Rhinolophus ferrumequinum: one gene and its partner. The protein of the gene in region 1 interacts with the protein of each later gene in a pairwise test. Links are inferred from orthologs where the notes say so. Each region holds a gene or a part of one and is shown in the gene's direction. Other genes may lie near its edges.

Region 1 (7,136 bases):
TGTAAGAATGTTTTCATAACCAAGGGTATATGCGATTCTCACTAAAAAACAGAAACACAAACGAAAACACCTGCTGAAGAAGAGCTCACAATGAAATATTATAAACTAGACAAGGAAGCAATCCACCGTAAGGAGGAGTCAGCAGATACAGCAAACAGGAGACTTAACACTCCAAAAACTGTGCATAATAGAACAATGTGAAAAACAAGTATATAAGAATACTTAAAAGCATTAAAGACTAAAGATAAGAAAATATACCATAATAAAAATATTGTATGATGAAAAAAGCAGTTTATTGGAGGGCTATAAAACATTAAGAAATGAAAAACATACCATTGAAATTAAAGACTCAGTGATCCATTAAACAGTAGACTAGACCCAACTGGAAAGAGAATTAGTGACTTGGAAGACAGCGGTAATAAAAATCATTCAAAACGGGGGTGGTGAGGGGAAAGTGATGAAATAGAAAATATGAAAGAATAATTTAAAAACATGAGAGAAAGAATAATGTGTATATATATATGTGTGTGTGTGTGTGTGTGTATTTTGCCTTTCATACCATTATATATATATATAAAATAGGAGTTCCTGAAGAATGGGGGAACATAATATTCTAACAGATAATGGTTGAGGATTTTCCAAAATGGAAGAAAGACAGAGTCCTCAGGTTGAAGAGTCCTGAGTTTATAAATACATTGTGGTGAAACTGTAGACTACTGAAGAGGAAGAGAAAACTCTTAAAAGCAACCAGAAAAAAAAGAAAAAGTCATCATTGCCTACAAAGTTAACAATTATATTGGAAGCGGACTTCGTATTAGCCACAAAATTTTATACAAAAAAATAAAACATTTTCAAAAGACCAAGAAAAAAACTGTCAACCACAAATTCTATGCCCACTAAATTTCCATTTAAATGGCGTGACATAAGGACAGATTAACACAAAGACTGAGACTGTTTACCACTCAAACAGTTTCACTGAAATGCCACCGAAGGATATACTTCATAAGAAGGAAGGCGTGGACTCCAAGAACAATGGTGAAAAGAGAAATTTATAAATGTGTTAGTGAATCTAAACAAGCATCGAAAGCCACTGTAAGTAGAGTGTAAATTGGTCCAGCTTCCTGATACAGCAATTTGGCAATAACTAGTACAGTTTACCTAGCAATGTTAAACACATATTCTATGACCAAAAAATGCTATTTCTAGGTATCCACCTTAGAGAAGTGCTTACATATATGCCAAAGAGGCATGCATATCACTGTCTGTGGCAGCATTGTTTATAATACAGAAAACTGGAAACATTGTAAATGCCCATCAGCAGAAGAATGGATAAATAAATTGTGGTATATTCAAACAATGAAATAGTATTCCGTAGTTAAAATTCACAAATTGGAGGAGCTACATGAAACAACATGGATACATGAAAAAAAAAAAAAAAAAGTTGAGAAAAAAGAAAGTTTACATAAAAATGTATACGAAAGAACACCATTTAGATAGGTTTTTAAGCACACAAATCAATCTTCCGTATTGCTTGTGGATGCGTACATATGGAGCAAAACTGTAAAACCATAAATCGAAAGGCTATCTCTGAACCAGATGTGGCAAAACATGAACAGTTGTTGGATTTCAGCAGTGTGTGCATGGGTATTTGTTATGTTATTCTCTGTCCTGTACTTTTCTGCATGTTTAAAAGCTCCACATTTTCTTTCTTTTTAATGAAGGGATCTAGGCAGTTAGAAATAAGGGTAAATGGGGATAAATGGCCACATCAATCCTCAGAGAGGATGATCTGTGGGAAGGGATTAGGAGGGAGGCTGAGTCCTGAGTCCAGGGATTTTGAGGATTAGTGCACATCATCCCCCTAAGCTGATTACCTGGCTGGCATTCCAACCACTTCCGCCCCTTCTGAGCTGCAGCCCAGGGCCCCAGGCCACTTACCTACACCTGCTGTGCCCTTTCCTCCTGCCTCCTAACTTCACCCCACCCTCAACCCAGTGCTGGTCTGGCCAGGGATGGCCCAAATTTGGGTCTTGAGAATAGATTGGCTCAGGTCTCCCCTGAATACTTACCCAATGAAGGGTGAATAGTGACCTGCACCCCGGAAGCCAAGGAGAGATTAGTCTTAATGCCCAGGATCAGAGCTCCCCGAGGACAGGTTGGACCCCCGGACGTCACAGTTGACAATGTCCTCCCCTGCCCCTCCCTCCATCAGCCAAAAAGTTAGCAATCAAGGTCAACTGCTCACTGACCATACTGGCTGAGCCAGAACCACAGCTGTGCTGTGGCAGAACAAATAGCCACTGAGCTTCCAGCATTAGGCTCTATCAGTCCCCAGAGCTCTCTGCACCCCCACCCTCCCAATGCCAGCCTCTTTCCACCATCTCTGACAATTGCCCTGCTCACCAAGTCTAGACAAGCCTGATAGATGCAGCAGACCCTCTGGAACGGGTCTGAGTGGTCTTGTTCAACAGCCTTTCCCCATGACTGGGTCACCTTGACCACAGGACCGGGAGTGAAATCCTGTCATCTGGGGAGCAAATGAAACCTCCTTGACCTGTGCTCGTCATCTCTCAGAGCACACCAGGCTGGAGGTATGAGGGGGAGAAAAAAAGGAGAGGAGAAAGAGAGGGAGAGAGAGAGAGAGAGAGAGAGAGAGAGAGAGAGAGAGAGAGAGAGAGAGAGAGAGAGACTTATAGGGCAACATCATCATTATTAGGTAACATTTAACTCCCTAAGTGTGAAATCATGTTAAATGATAAGACACTATTAACTGCATAGTTGGGAGATTTACCTTTACTCATTTATTCTATGTGTCAGGTACTTTGCCAGATGCTAGAGATAAAAAGAAAAAAATGACTAAGATACTCCCCAACCTTCCAGAAAGTGGGCAAACAGAAGAGTAAACACCTGACCTTGACAACCCAGAGTGACTGGCACTGCCCTAGAGGGCAGGAGGGCAGGGTGGAGCGAGCAGGGGCATCTCACAGGGATGTCAGAGAAGGCTGCCCACAGGTGACCCCGATGAAGGGGTGAAGGATAAGTAGGGGATGCCCAGCCAAAGGAGGACTTCTTTCCTGAGTATTATGGGGGGCTTGTGAAGGTGGGAGATGGGGGGTGGACACAGATAATAGGTACCCATGACTTTGTGAGTAGGTATGCAAGAGAAGGAATTGGTGTGTGTCCCTGGCTTGGGAATCTCCTGGTACTTTTCTGCATCTGCTGGGATGCCCAGGTTCCCAAGTGTGTCACCACTTCTTTCCTGCAAAGATGTGAGAACAACTGCCTTGGGCTCCTGGTAGACATTCCTTGAGTGAATGACTGAATAAGTGAAACCAGCTCTCTGGGCTTCCACCTCTCCCTTTTGCCAGAGTGAAAATCAGCAGTACGCACTCTGAGACGGCTGCACCGGCAGGGTGGGTGGGGGTCGTGGCTTGCAGCCCACGGGGTGTAGGGCCAGTTGGGAAGGCCGAGTGGTGGAGTGAGGAGGTCTCCAGGCAGCCAAGGCTGCGTGGGGCCATGGAGCGGGCGCTCCTGAGGGTCCCTGGTTCTGGCTTGGTGGAGGCGTCAGGAAAGCAGAGAGATCAAGGACCCGCATTTCATGTATTCCGGCCTTGGCTTCCCTGGTCCATTTCTCATGCAGCTCTGGGGAGCGAGAGGCCACTGCGCCGCGCTGGGGCGGCGAAAGGGGGTCAGCGCTAACAACGGAGGTGGGGGCATGGGTCTTGAGTGATGTGAGCGTGTCTACGCGTTTGGAAGGAACAGGCCGGGAGCATTTGTCCATCTTTGACCTTTTCTTCCACCACTGAGAGGGACGGGGACCTGACAAATGGCGCAGACGGGTCCTCGTGCGCAGTCGACTCCAGGAAGGACCCATCACCAGAGCAAGGGATCTTGTGTCTACCTCTTGGGGAGACCTCAAGTCCCGACGAGCCTCGGCCCGCTCGCCCCACTCGCTCGGCGAGGCCACGAGCGTCCTGGGACGCGCTCCCTCACCCTTCCCGCTCCCGCCTGCCCGCACCCGGTCGCGCAGCGGAGCGGGCTTCCAGGCGGCGGCGGACCGCGGGCGGCGGCGGCGTCAGGTGGCCCGGCCAGGCCCCGCCCCCTCGGCCCGCCCCCCCAGCCCTGCGCGCCAGGCTCCGGGTCCCGGCCTCGCTGCTGCGGCGTCTGCTCCCGGCGGCGGCGGCGGCGGCAGCGCGAGAGGCCATGGAGGCGGGCGCCGAGGCCGGCGCGGGAGCCGAGGGCTGGAGCTGCCCAGGTCAGAGCCGCCCCTCCCTCACCTCTCCCCCGCCGCGCCTTCCTCTTCTCCATCTTTCCTCCCTGCAGACCCCCACGTCTTCCCTCCCTCCGCTGCGCCCACCTTCCCCTCCTAAATCTCCCTCCCTCCGTCCCGCCCCTCACCCGGGCCCGGTCTCCATCTTTCCCGCTGAGTCTTCCGCCACCGGCAGCATCCTCTCTGGCAGTTCTTTCCCTGAGCCCTCTCCATCACGTCTCTCCAGCCCAGGGGGCTCCAGCCCCTGCACCCCCGAAGGCTTCTTAGCGCAGGGCGAGGGTGGGGCGGGCGAGGTCCAGGGAGAGAATGGAGGGGAGGGGAGCGGCTCTGGCCCAGACCCCTTCCCACGGCGCCTCCTGCCCATCGCCACCTGCCTCCCCTTCCACGCACCACCTCACCCTTTCAGCCGCTTCTTTACTAGCTTCTGCCCTCTCTCCCATCCTTTCCCCTCTCCTCCTGTCCCCTCTAGGCTAAAGAGACACACGCCCCTTCCGTCTGTGCAAGGGAGAGGAGCCTTGAACGGAGGCTGCTGAGGAGGTTGGGCCGCGCAGGGCGGGGTCCCCGCAGGCCCAGCGCGAGGGGCGGCTGAAGGAGCAGAGTCGCGGTGCTGGGCGGAGTGAGCCGAGCACGTCCACCAGGATTGAAACCCTCAGGGCTCCAAAGGGCTAGAAGGCATGCCAGCCCCCAGCCGCCCCTGGCATCCCACAATCCCTCCTCTCTCCCTGCTCACAGGACCCACAGTAACCACTCTGGGCTCCTACGAGGTATCCGAGGGCTGTGAGAGGAAGAAAGGCCAACGCTGGGGGTCCTTGGAGAGGCGGGGGATGCAAGCTATGGAGGGTGAGTTTTCCCAGAAAGCTTTCTTTCTCTCCCCCTCTTCCCTCCTCCCTCTGATCCCCAGAACTCTGGGCCCTTTCCCCAGTTCACCTGAGGCCCCTCCACCCCTCCTCAGGGTTGAGGATTTGAGGGAGGTGCCCAGCGCCTCCCTTTGGGGCCTTAATCACAAGCTAACCAGGTTGTGTCCTGGGGAAGCTGCCAGACAGAGAAAGGCCTGGTTGGACAGAGCTTTGAAGCAGCCTTTCTGCAGGGGGTTTGTTCTCACTGCCTCTCGACCCAGATCCCAACCTGTCTCTTCTTTTGAAAAGCAGAGAAGTGAGCATGTGAATTGTCTTCCTGGTGTCACCACCACTAACTTTATATGCAAGCCTTGTGCCTTTGGTGCTCTAGGGTCGCATACTGCCTGAGAGAGATTGCCTGGGAGGGGGACAGGTGAGAAGGCCAACCTCCCAACACTCCTGTGACCCCACCACACCCATGCACCTTGGTAGTTGTTGCCAACACCAGGCCCCTAAAAGGATGCTGGTCCGTTTTTCCATGACTTCCTGTGAAGTGTCCTCAGACCCCTGTGCACCCTCAGTGTGGGCAACCCTGTTCCCCCAAAGGGAACAGAAAATGCAAGGGGTCCCAGATGAACCTTAGGCTGCTGTTATCGGAGAAAGTAAGACCAGGGATTCAGAATTTTAAAACAAAGCCAACAATCACCACCCAGACAAGATTTTTGCTATTTGGAGGAACTGCATTGCAGCAAAGGAGGGGGTGCTTGCCAACCAGAGGCTGGGGACCAGCACACCCCAGTTTCTTAATGCATTAAAATGGCACACAAGTACCTCAGACTTTACGCACAAGTACCTCAGACTTCCGCCCTGAAAACTACTCTGTACATTGATCAGCCGCGGGAAAGGCCTCATAACACTCAGGGAGGGGAGAGGAAACCCGCGCCCCCCCCCCCCCACACACACACACTCAGCAGGGAAAAGGAAGGTGGGCCTTGTGGAAAATTTCAAAAAGGCTATTCGATAGAGCACATTTAAAAGGGCCCCCGTTTGTCCAGTAAAACATTGAGACTCGCTTCATTTAGCTGTTTTCTTTGTTTGCCTACTGACAGGCAATGCGATCTTATTACGGAAAGGCTAATTTCTCACAAGCTACCTGGACAGTTTTTGAACTCTCTACAAAGACCCCGACTGTAACTCTTGCCCCATTTGGCCTAAAGACACGTCCAGTGTCTGAATCTTTTCTTGACTACTTGTCCCACGCCCCAGAGACCAGGACTGGAAGGAGTGGGTATTCTTATGCAAACTTCACATGGCTGAGCCAGCACTGAGCTGCTCAGTTTCCCCAAAGGCAGTAATAGGAGGCCACCAGGTGCAGCACTGGTCCAGAAAGGGCCTGGGCGGGGGAATGGGCTACCTCCAAATATGACCCTCACACCTGAGGACTCAGGAGTGCAGGTCCTCCCCAGGGGCTCTTTGGGGGACACCAGGTGGCACTAGTATGCCATCTCTGCCCGGGGACAGTGAGTTTGAGGGCCCTCGGAGGACTGTGGAAAGGAAGTTGGCTCTGACCCCCTGGCGGGATGGGTGTCTCTCCTAGGGGAAGTGTTACTCCCAGCTCTCTATGAGGAGGAAGAGGAGGAGGAGGAGGAGGAGGAAGAGGTGGAAGAAGAAGAAGATCAAGTTCAGAAAGGTGGCAGTGTAGGTTCCCTATCAGTTGGGAAGCACCGGGGCCTGAGCCTCACGGAGACAGAGCTGGAGGAGCTGAGGGCTCAGGTGCTGCAGCTGGTGACAGAGCTGGAGGAGACCCGGGAACTGGCAGGGCAGCATGAGGACGACTCCCTGGAGCTGCAGGGTGAGTGTCCATGCTGGGGCCTGAGGGCTGCGCCCAAATGCTCTATGCTCACCATCCCAGGCCTGATGCTGGCCCTCTCTCCATGCAGGGCTCTTGGAGGATGAACGGCTGGCCAGCGCCCAGCAGGCAGAAGTGTTCACCAAGCAGATCCAGCAACTCCAAGGTAAATCCCAGCCTT
Region 2 (7,513 bases), on another chromosome or scaffold:
AAGCACAGCACAAGGGCCAGTTGGTGTAATGAAGCCTGAGATGTGGGAATGAACAAGTACCAGGGTCATACCCCAGTCTGGCCTGAAGAAAAATAACAAATAGTGGGAGGTGACGGGTAAGGTGATGAGTGTGGTGGGGTCAGAGGAGACAGCTAAATGTGGCTGCCATGCCTAGAGTAATAAGCTTCATGACATGATGGGGACTGTCTTTCCTGCTGCCCCCAGAATAGTGTCTGACACTTAGTAGACACTCAACAAATATTTGTTGAATAAAAGCGGGAAGGAGGGGAAACTGACAAAGTATTTGGCAAAACCTAACACTTTCATGATAGAAACACTCAACAAACTAGTAATAGAAGAAACCACTCAACTTGATAAAGGGCATTGATGGAAAGCCCCATCATATTAAATGGTGAAACACTAAAATCTTGCCCCCCAAGATCAAAGACAAGGATGCCTGCCCTCACTACTAGCCACCATTGTCCTTGAGGTTCCAGTCAGGGCAATTAGCCAAGGAAGAGAAATAAAAGACATCCCATTTGGAAAGGAAGAAGTGAAACTCCATTCGCAGATAACATGATCTTATCTACAGAAAACTCTGAAGAATACTCATACACACAAAAAAAATTAGAGCTAATAAGAGAGTTCAAGAAAGTTGGAGGATACAATATTACATACAAAAATCAGGTGTGATTTGTACATGCTGCAATGAACAATCCAAAAATTGCAAAAACAATTCCATTTACAATAGCATCAAAAATAATGAAATACTTAGGAATAAATTTAAAGTACAAGACTTACACACTGAAAACACTGTTGAAGTTAAAGAAATAAGACCTACATAAATGGAAATCCATCCTGCGTTCATGGATTGGAAGACTTCATGTTGCAACTCAGATAGCAGTACTCGCTAAATTAATACACAGATGTAATACAAGTCATATCAAAATTCCAATTGCCTTTTTGTGTGTGTGGCGAAAATGGACAAGCAGATCCTAAAATTCATATGGAAATGCAAGGGACCCAGAAGAGCCAAAACCATCCTGAAAGAGACAAAATTGGAGCTCTCCCACTTCCAAAGTACAAAGCTACAGTCATCAAAGCCGTGTGGAACTGGCACGAGGACAGACATAAATCAATGGAACTGAGTCCAGGAATAAACCCTCAACAAGGGTGTCGAGACCATTCAGTGGAGAAAGAACAGTCTTTTCAACAAATGGTGCCAGAACAACTGGATATGCACCTGCAAAGAATGAATGGGTCCACATCACACCGTACACAAAAATTAACTAACAATGGGTTAAAGACTTAAATGTAAGACCAAAAACTAAAAACTTTTTAAAGAAAACACAGGTGACAAATATTCACGGCCTTGGACTAGATAGCATACCAAAAGCACAAGCAAACCAAAGAAAAAAGAGACCTATTGGACTTCAAGAAATAAAACGTGTGTGTGAAAGACCCTACAGAAAAATAAAGACCACCCAAAGAACGGGAAAAACTATTTGCAAATTATGTATCTGTGAAGGGACTAATATCCTGAATATATAAAGAACCCTTACAATTTAACCTAAAAAGGAAACTCAATTAAAAAATAGGCAAAGGATTGAAATAGATGTTTCTCCAAAGAAGATGTACAAATGACCAGTAAGCACATGAAAAGATGCTCAGCATCACTATTCATTAGGGAAATGGCCAATCAAAACCAGGAAATGCTACTTTACACCCAACTGGGATGCCTAAAATAAAATCAGATACCGTGTTTCCCCCAAAATAAGACCTAGCCGGACAATCAGCTCTAATGCATCTTTTGGAGTGAAAATTAATATAAGACCGGGTATTATATTACATTATGTCATATTAATATTATATATATTATATTACATTACATTATAGACCCGGTCTTATTTTACTATAAAATAAGTAAAACAAGACCGGGTCTTATATTAACTTTTGCTCCAAAAGACGCATTAGAGCTGATTGTCCGGCTAGGTCTTTTTTTCGGGAAAGCAGGGTAACAAGGAGTGTTGGTGAAGACAATGGAGAAATTGGAACCCTCATACACTGCTGGTGGGAATGGAAAGTAGTGCATACACTAAGCAAAGCAGTTTGATAGTTCCTTAAAAAGTGAAACATTAAAAAAAAAAATAGTAACAGGGTTATGGTAATTCCATTCCAGTATATACCCCAAAGAATTGAAAACGTTCATACAAAAACTTGTTCGCAAATGTTCATAGAAGCCATATTTATAACAGCCAAAAAGTGAAAACAACCAAATGTCTGTCAACTGATGAATGAACAAAATGTGGCCTATCCATACAATGGAATATTATTCAGCCATGAATAATAAAGAAATAATATATGGATACATGTTGCAGCATGGACGAACCTTGAAAACATGCTGAATGAAAGAAGATAAAGGTCAGATGATTCCATGCATATGAAATGCCCAGAACAGGTACATCCATAGAGACAAAGTAGAGTAGTGGTTGCCTAAAGCTAGGGGTAGTGGGAAAAGGGTGACTGCAATGGGGTATGGAGTTTCTTTTTGGGGTGACAGAAATATTCTAGAATTAGATAGTGTTGATGGTTGTATAACTGAATGGATTAAAAACCACAAAACTGTATACTTTAAAAAGCTGACTTTTATGCTAAGTGAATTGTATCTCAATTAAAAACAAGGGAAAAATGTTTTCAGGGATAATCAGGACTTAAAAGTGAAGGGTGGTGAAAACACAACAAAACTGAAAAAGAGCCCAGGACATTTGTAGGCGGGACTGGTGCAGGCCACTGAGATCTGGATTCTCACCCCCAGGACATGGAGGTGCAGTGGAACAGCTCATAGGTGGTGGTACCAGGATTAGGGCCTGCCCTGGGAGTCCGCTGCTTGTAGCTGCTTGCCCTGCACCGCCCCATAGGAAAATCGCTACTGTGGCCATCGTGCGCTTGAAAGGTGGCTGGTCTGAATTCAGCGCATCTGAATCCAGATGTGCTGTGAGTGTAAAATACATGTTGGCTTTTGAAGACTTCATGTGATAAAAATAATGTGAAGTATCTTAATTTCTTTATATTCATCACATATTGAAAACAGTGTGGTGGATATATTAAAAAATATGTACCAAAGATTAATGTCACCAGTTTCTCCTTACTTTCTAAAATGTGACTACGGAAAAATTGAAAATCACATCTGTGGCTCGGAATGTATTTCGATCAGACAGTGCTATCCCAGAGTATTGGGCCCCTGGGGGGGGTAGGGGAAGGTGACAATTTATTTATGAAATAAAATTTTATTGAGTGTCCTTGGATGAACTAGCCTAAAGCTGATCACAAGGGGTGCTGGTTAAGCAGGGGAGGGGACGTCACCTGCACCTTCAATCCCAAAGGGAAGGGGCAGGGGCGGTATACCTTCCCTCTAGAGCTGAGAGGAACCTTCCTCACTAGGTGCGTGTGTCTGAATGTTTGGGACCAGTGTAAAAATTTGCAAGCCATTGTGATTAAAACACGATGGCAAAGGGTGGGCATCTTGTGTGTTTTGACGAGCTTTACCATCTAAGCAGAACTCCAAGAAATAGTACCTTCAAAAGCTTAATCATCTAATCCTAAATCCATCTGATGATTACATTTCAGTCAGCTTCGAGCATAGGCTGGGGTGGGGTCGAAGGAGGGCCAAAAATTGTACCTTAAACCCCAGGAGAGTAGAGAAACTTTGCCAAGTTCATTCTTGTACCCTTAGCTCCTAGAACAGTACCCGACACATAGTAGGCGCTTCTTAAATATTTGAATGAGTTACGATGCAAAATTATGTAAATGCAAGGGTGGATTTTCCAGGAGGAGATTCCTCTTTTTTGCCAGTCTCAAAGGATTCACAGGCTCCCAAAGGGTTAAAAACCACTAAATACAGACAAGGATGTGAAATTTATTTGAAATCAATGTTAGAATTGGTTGTTCTTATTCTGGGGAATAACCAGACCTCGGCGTCTGGAAGGATCTACGTGCTTAAAAATACCATTCGCCACCATTTTCTCCAGGTAATTTTCCATCCCTGCCCCCACAGTCAAGGAGGAAAAAAGTAATTGTGAAATCCTACCTAGCTATTAAAAAAAAAAAAAAATAAGCGGTAAAATAGAAAATCTCCAGGCGCCGAGAACGAAAAAGAAGAAAGGGACCCAGGCGGGCCACAGGCGCCGCCGGGACCCCAGCCCCCCAAACTTTGCCAAGTTGCGGGCGCCGAGCGCGCGGGGAGGCGCGGGGCGCGGCCGCGGGCGGAGCCGCCCCCTGACGCCGGGCCGCCCCCTCCCGGCCCGGGCCGGCCCCGCTGGCTCGGCTCAAAGTTTGCGGCCGCCCCTGCGCCCGCCCGATGTATGGGTGATATACTGCGGCGGTGTCAGGGTGAGGGACGGCCATATTTGCCGGTGCGGCCCGAGCCGTCAACAACAAAAAGTGCGCGGGAGCTCGGCGGGCGCACGGACGGGCGCACGGACGCCGGGCCCGCCTCGCCGCCGCCCGGCCTCGCCGCCGCCGCCGTCGCCTCGCGGGCCTGGCCCCGCTGCGCCCCGCGCGCCCCGCCGCTCGGGGGGATGTCTTACAAACCGAACTTGACCGCGCACATGCCCGCCGCCTCCCTCAACGCCGGTGAGTGAGTGCGCCCCGTGGGCCGCGCGCGCCGCGCCCCAAGTGCTGCCAAGTTGGGGGCCCGCACGCCGGGCCCCGGCCACGGCCCCGGGAGCCCCGCGAGGCCAAGGGCGACGGGCACCGGGTCCCGGCCCGGGGCAGCGCGGCGGCCGCCGCCATGATTCCGGCGCTCGCGCTGCCAAAGTTGGCGGGTGCGCCCCGCCCCGCGCCGGGCCTCGGGCCGGGGCTGGGCTGGGGCCCCGGGCGCAGGCGGGCGGCCGCCGCCGTCCCCCCCACGCCGGCGGCCGAGGACTCGCGGGGAGCGCGGCGGGCGAGGGCAGGGGAGGTTTTCCTCGGTTCCTTTTTCCTCCGGCTTTTGGGCGGCTCGGCGAGGGCCCCTGCCGGCGGGAGTCGGGAGCGGCCGGGCCGCGCCGGGAGCGGGGCGCGGGGCTCGGGCGCCGGTGGGGAGCGGGGGCGCAGGCCCGGGCTGCAGGGGCGCACGTGTGCAAAATCAGGCCAGCGTAGGCAGGGCCGGGGGGACGGCGGCGTGCCAGGTGCAGCAGCCCCTGAGGGCTCTGGGCGGCTGCGGCGGGGACGGGGGTCACCCGCGGTGCAGGGGACTCAGTCATCAGTGGGGGTTAAGCCTGGCACGTGGGAGCAGGGGTCCCGAGAATGGGGCACTGGGGAGGTCCCCCTCAGGCGTGCGCGAGTGGAAGAAGTTGGAGAGGACAGGGGGCTTCTGAGTACCTGAGGGCGGTGTGTGTGTGTGTGTGGGGGGGAACCTCTCCGTCGGGGCCCACATGTCGGAGCCCCCAAGTCTGGGCCTAGGAGGCCCCCTCCTGCAGCAGTTGGGAGGGGCCGCTCTCTCCCCTCCCTGGGACTGGAGCCGGGCAGTCCCGGGAAACTCCTCCAGAAGTTGTCAGGCCGCTTTAGGCTGTGCCCAGGGGCTCACCCTAGGGACTGAGTGAGACTGGGTGAGGGGCAGGTAAAATTGTGGGAGGCGGACACCACCGGCTTTGTCCCCTCACCAGGGCCCTTCTCCTTTAGACAGTTGGTTGGAAATACTTCCCCAAAAGCGAGGCACGTTGGTGGTGGGGGAGGGGACAGAAGGGAGGGAAGGGGGGTTTGGCCTTGCAGGTCAGAAATGCCACGCTGGCAGTTGGCCGCAAGTGTTGGGCCTTATCTCCAAACGGTGGCTCCTTAACTCCAGAAATCTGAAGAGGGACCCAAAAAAGCCGTGTGTGTGTGTGTGTGTGTGTGTGTGTGTGTGGTGTCTGTGTGTGTTTAACTTCTTGGACACAGATTTGGGGATTAGAAAGGGTTAAGATTCAGGGTACCAGTGTGGGGGATAGTTGAATTGGTCAAATGTGGGCTCTGATCCCCAAGAGCACACAGCACTGTTTTCTCAAATGTTCTCACCTGCTCTGGGGTCTGCAAACCTTACTGAGACAGGCTTTGTGGTGCAGGTAGCATTTCTCACTGCCTCCCTCATCTGTCATTTCTGGGGCAGGAAAGGTGAGGGTCTTGCACCAGCCTGGACAGGCGGGAACTCTCAGTCCTGACCTAGGAATAGTTGAGGCAGGGGCCCTAACCTGGGACCTTTGGGGACTGGGGTCACGGAGTGACGGGCATCCATTCAGGACCCCTGAAGCCCTGTTCTGGGCTGGCTGGCAGCTCTGCGCAGGTTTTCTTCTTTCTCCTATGGTGAATTCCAGGAGTGCTGAGGTGCCCGGATCGCTGGTGTTTCGGTGGGGGCCGCCCCTTCCCGGTGGACACCTTTAGAAAGCCCCATCTCCCCCTGCCATTTGCATCCAAGATGGACTCTCCGCTGCCGCTCCTCCGGCTTCCTTGCCATCATCCCTCACGCCCTCCAGCCCTGCCTCCTGCGCACGGGTTGCCAAGCCGCGGCCTGGCCGGCGGTGGCGGTGGCGGTGGCGGTGGCGGAGTTAGACAAAGCCCCCGCCTCTCTGACGGAGAGCCCCCCCCCCAAGGCGCCCCAAGTGGCGGGAAGGCCGCCAGCTCCCCAGGCCCAGGCCGCTCTTTGTCTGGTGTGGGGGCGGGGAGCTGTGCCTGGCCCCAGGAGCTGCTGGCCTCTGCCAGTCCCTCCCTCTGCTCGGCCTCCCTGGTCCCCGCACACTGCGTGCATTGTCTGCGATGCTCGGAAACGCGGCGCTCACGCCCAGTCTGGTTTTCTGCCTGGCCTTGCGCAGCACGACCCTCTGGCCCTTCCTGTGTCTGTAGGAAGGAGTGGGCATGAGTATAACTCTGGGCCCCTTGCCAACTCTCCAGGGCCACCTGCCCGCCCCTCAACACAGAGTAAGGGACCGCGTTGCCACAGGATTGGTGTCACCTGCCACATCACCTAGGTTACCCCTGCAACCAAAACTGGGCACTTTCTCGTTCCTCCTCTCTCCTCCTTAGCCTCCAAGCCCAGCACCATGAAAGAACAGGATCTAGAGCAATGTGGGGAACCATTGCCTCTGATGGAGAAACTGAGGCTCAGAGACGGAAGGGGCTGGTCTAAGGTCACACAGCCAGGTATGGCACAGCTGGACTAGCTCCTAGTCTAGACCCTTGCCTGTAAGGGAGAAGACAGGCCAGGGAGGCAGCAACCCAGTGAAACGAGCAAGAGGAGGAGGAAGGCAGGAAAATGCCTGGGAGGTGCCACCCCCATCTCTGCCAGAGAGCTGGTGTCTTCTAGACACCTTGAAGTGTAGTGGGATGATCCATGCTCCCCGCCCCCTGCCCCAGTCTCACAGTTAGTATCCTGGCCTTTCAGAGAGGTGTCACAATTTCTAGTGGTCAGGATTGGAACTCAGGGCTGGGGCTGCAAAACCTGAGACCTCACTCACTGGGAACGGGGGTTTGGATGATGTGAGGGGAGCTGGAGGCACGCACCCTG

What was found. The genes of interacting proteins can lie anywhere in the genome.
Region 2: the proteins of CCDC136 (region 1) and CDK2AP1 interact in binary tests that used the Homo sapiens proteins (3 or more experiments, as listed by UniProt). The two-hybrid records come from large-scale screens. The link is inferred for Rhinolophus ferrumequinum from reciprocal best matches to the Homo sapiens genes CCDC136 and CDK2AP1.

What each region holds. Positions count from the first base shown.
Region 1 is NC_046309.1:17,344,727-17,351,862, reverse strand, and holds the start of CCDC136 (coiled-coil domain-containing protein 136), read left to right. Parts: upstream 1-4,203; coding exon 4,204-4,255; intron 4,256-4,739; exon of another isoform or gene 4,740-4,944; coding exon of another isoform or gene 4,945-5,002; coding exon 5,003-5,110; intron 5,111-6,703; coding exon 6,704-6,958; intron 6,959-7,046; coding exon 7,047-7,121; intron 7,122-7,136. UniProt on the Homo sapiens protein: May play a role in acrosome formation in spermatogenesis and in fertilization.
Region 2 is NC_046308.1:4,504,049-4,511,561, forward strand, and holds the start of CDK2AP1 (cyclin-dependent kinase 2-associated protein 1), read left to right. Parts: upstream 1-4,500; 5' UTR 4,501-4,577; coding exon 4,578-4,632; intron 4,633-7,083; exon of another isoform or gene 7,084-7,094; coding exon of another isoform or gene 7,095-7,149; intron 7,150-7,513. UniProt on the Homo sapiens protein: Inhibitor of cyclin-dependent kinase CDK2. Also acts as a component of the histone deacetylase NuRD complex which participates in the remodeling of chromatin.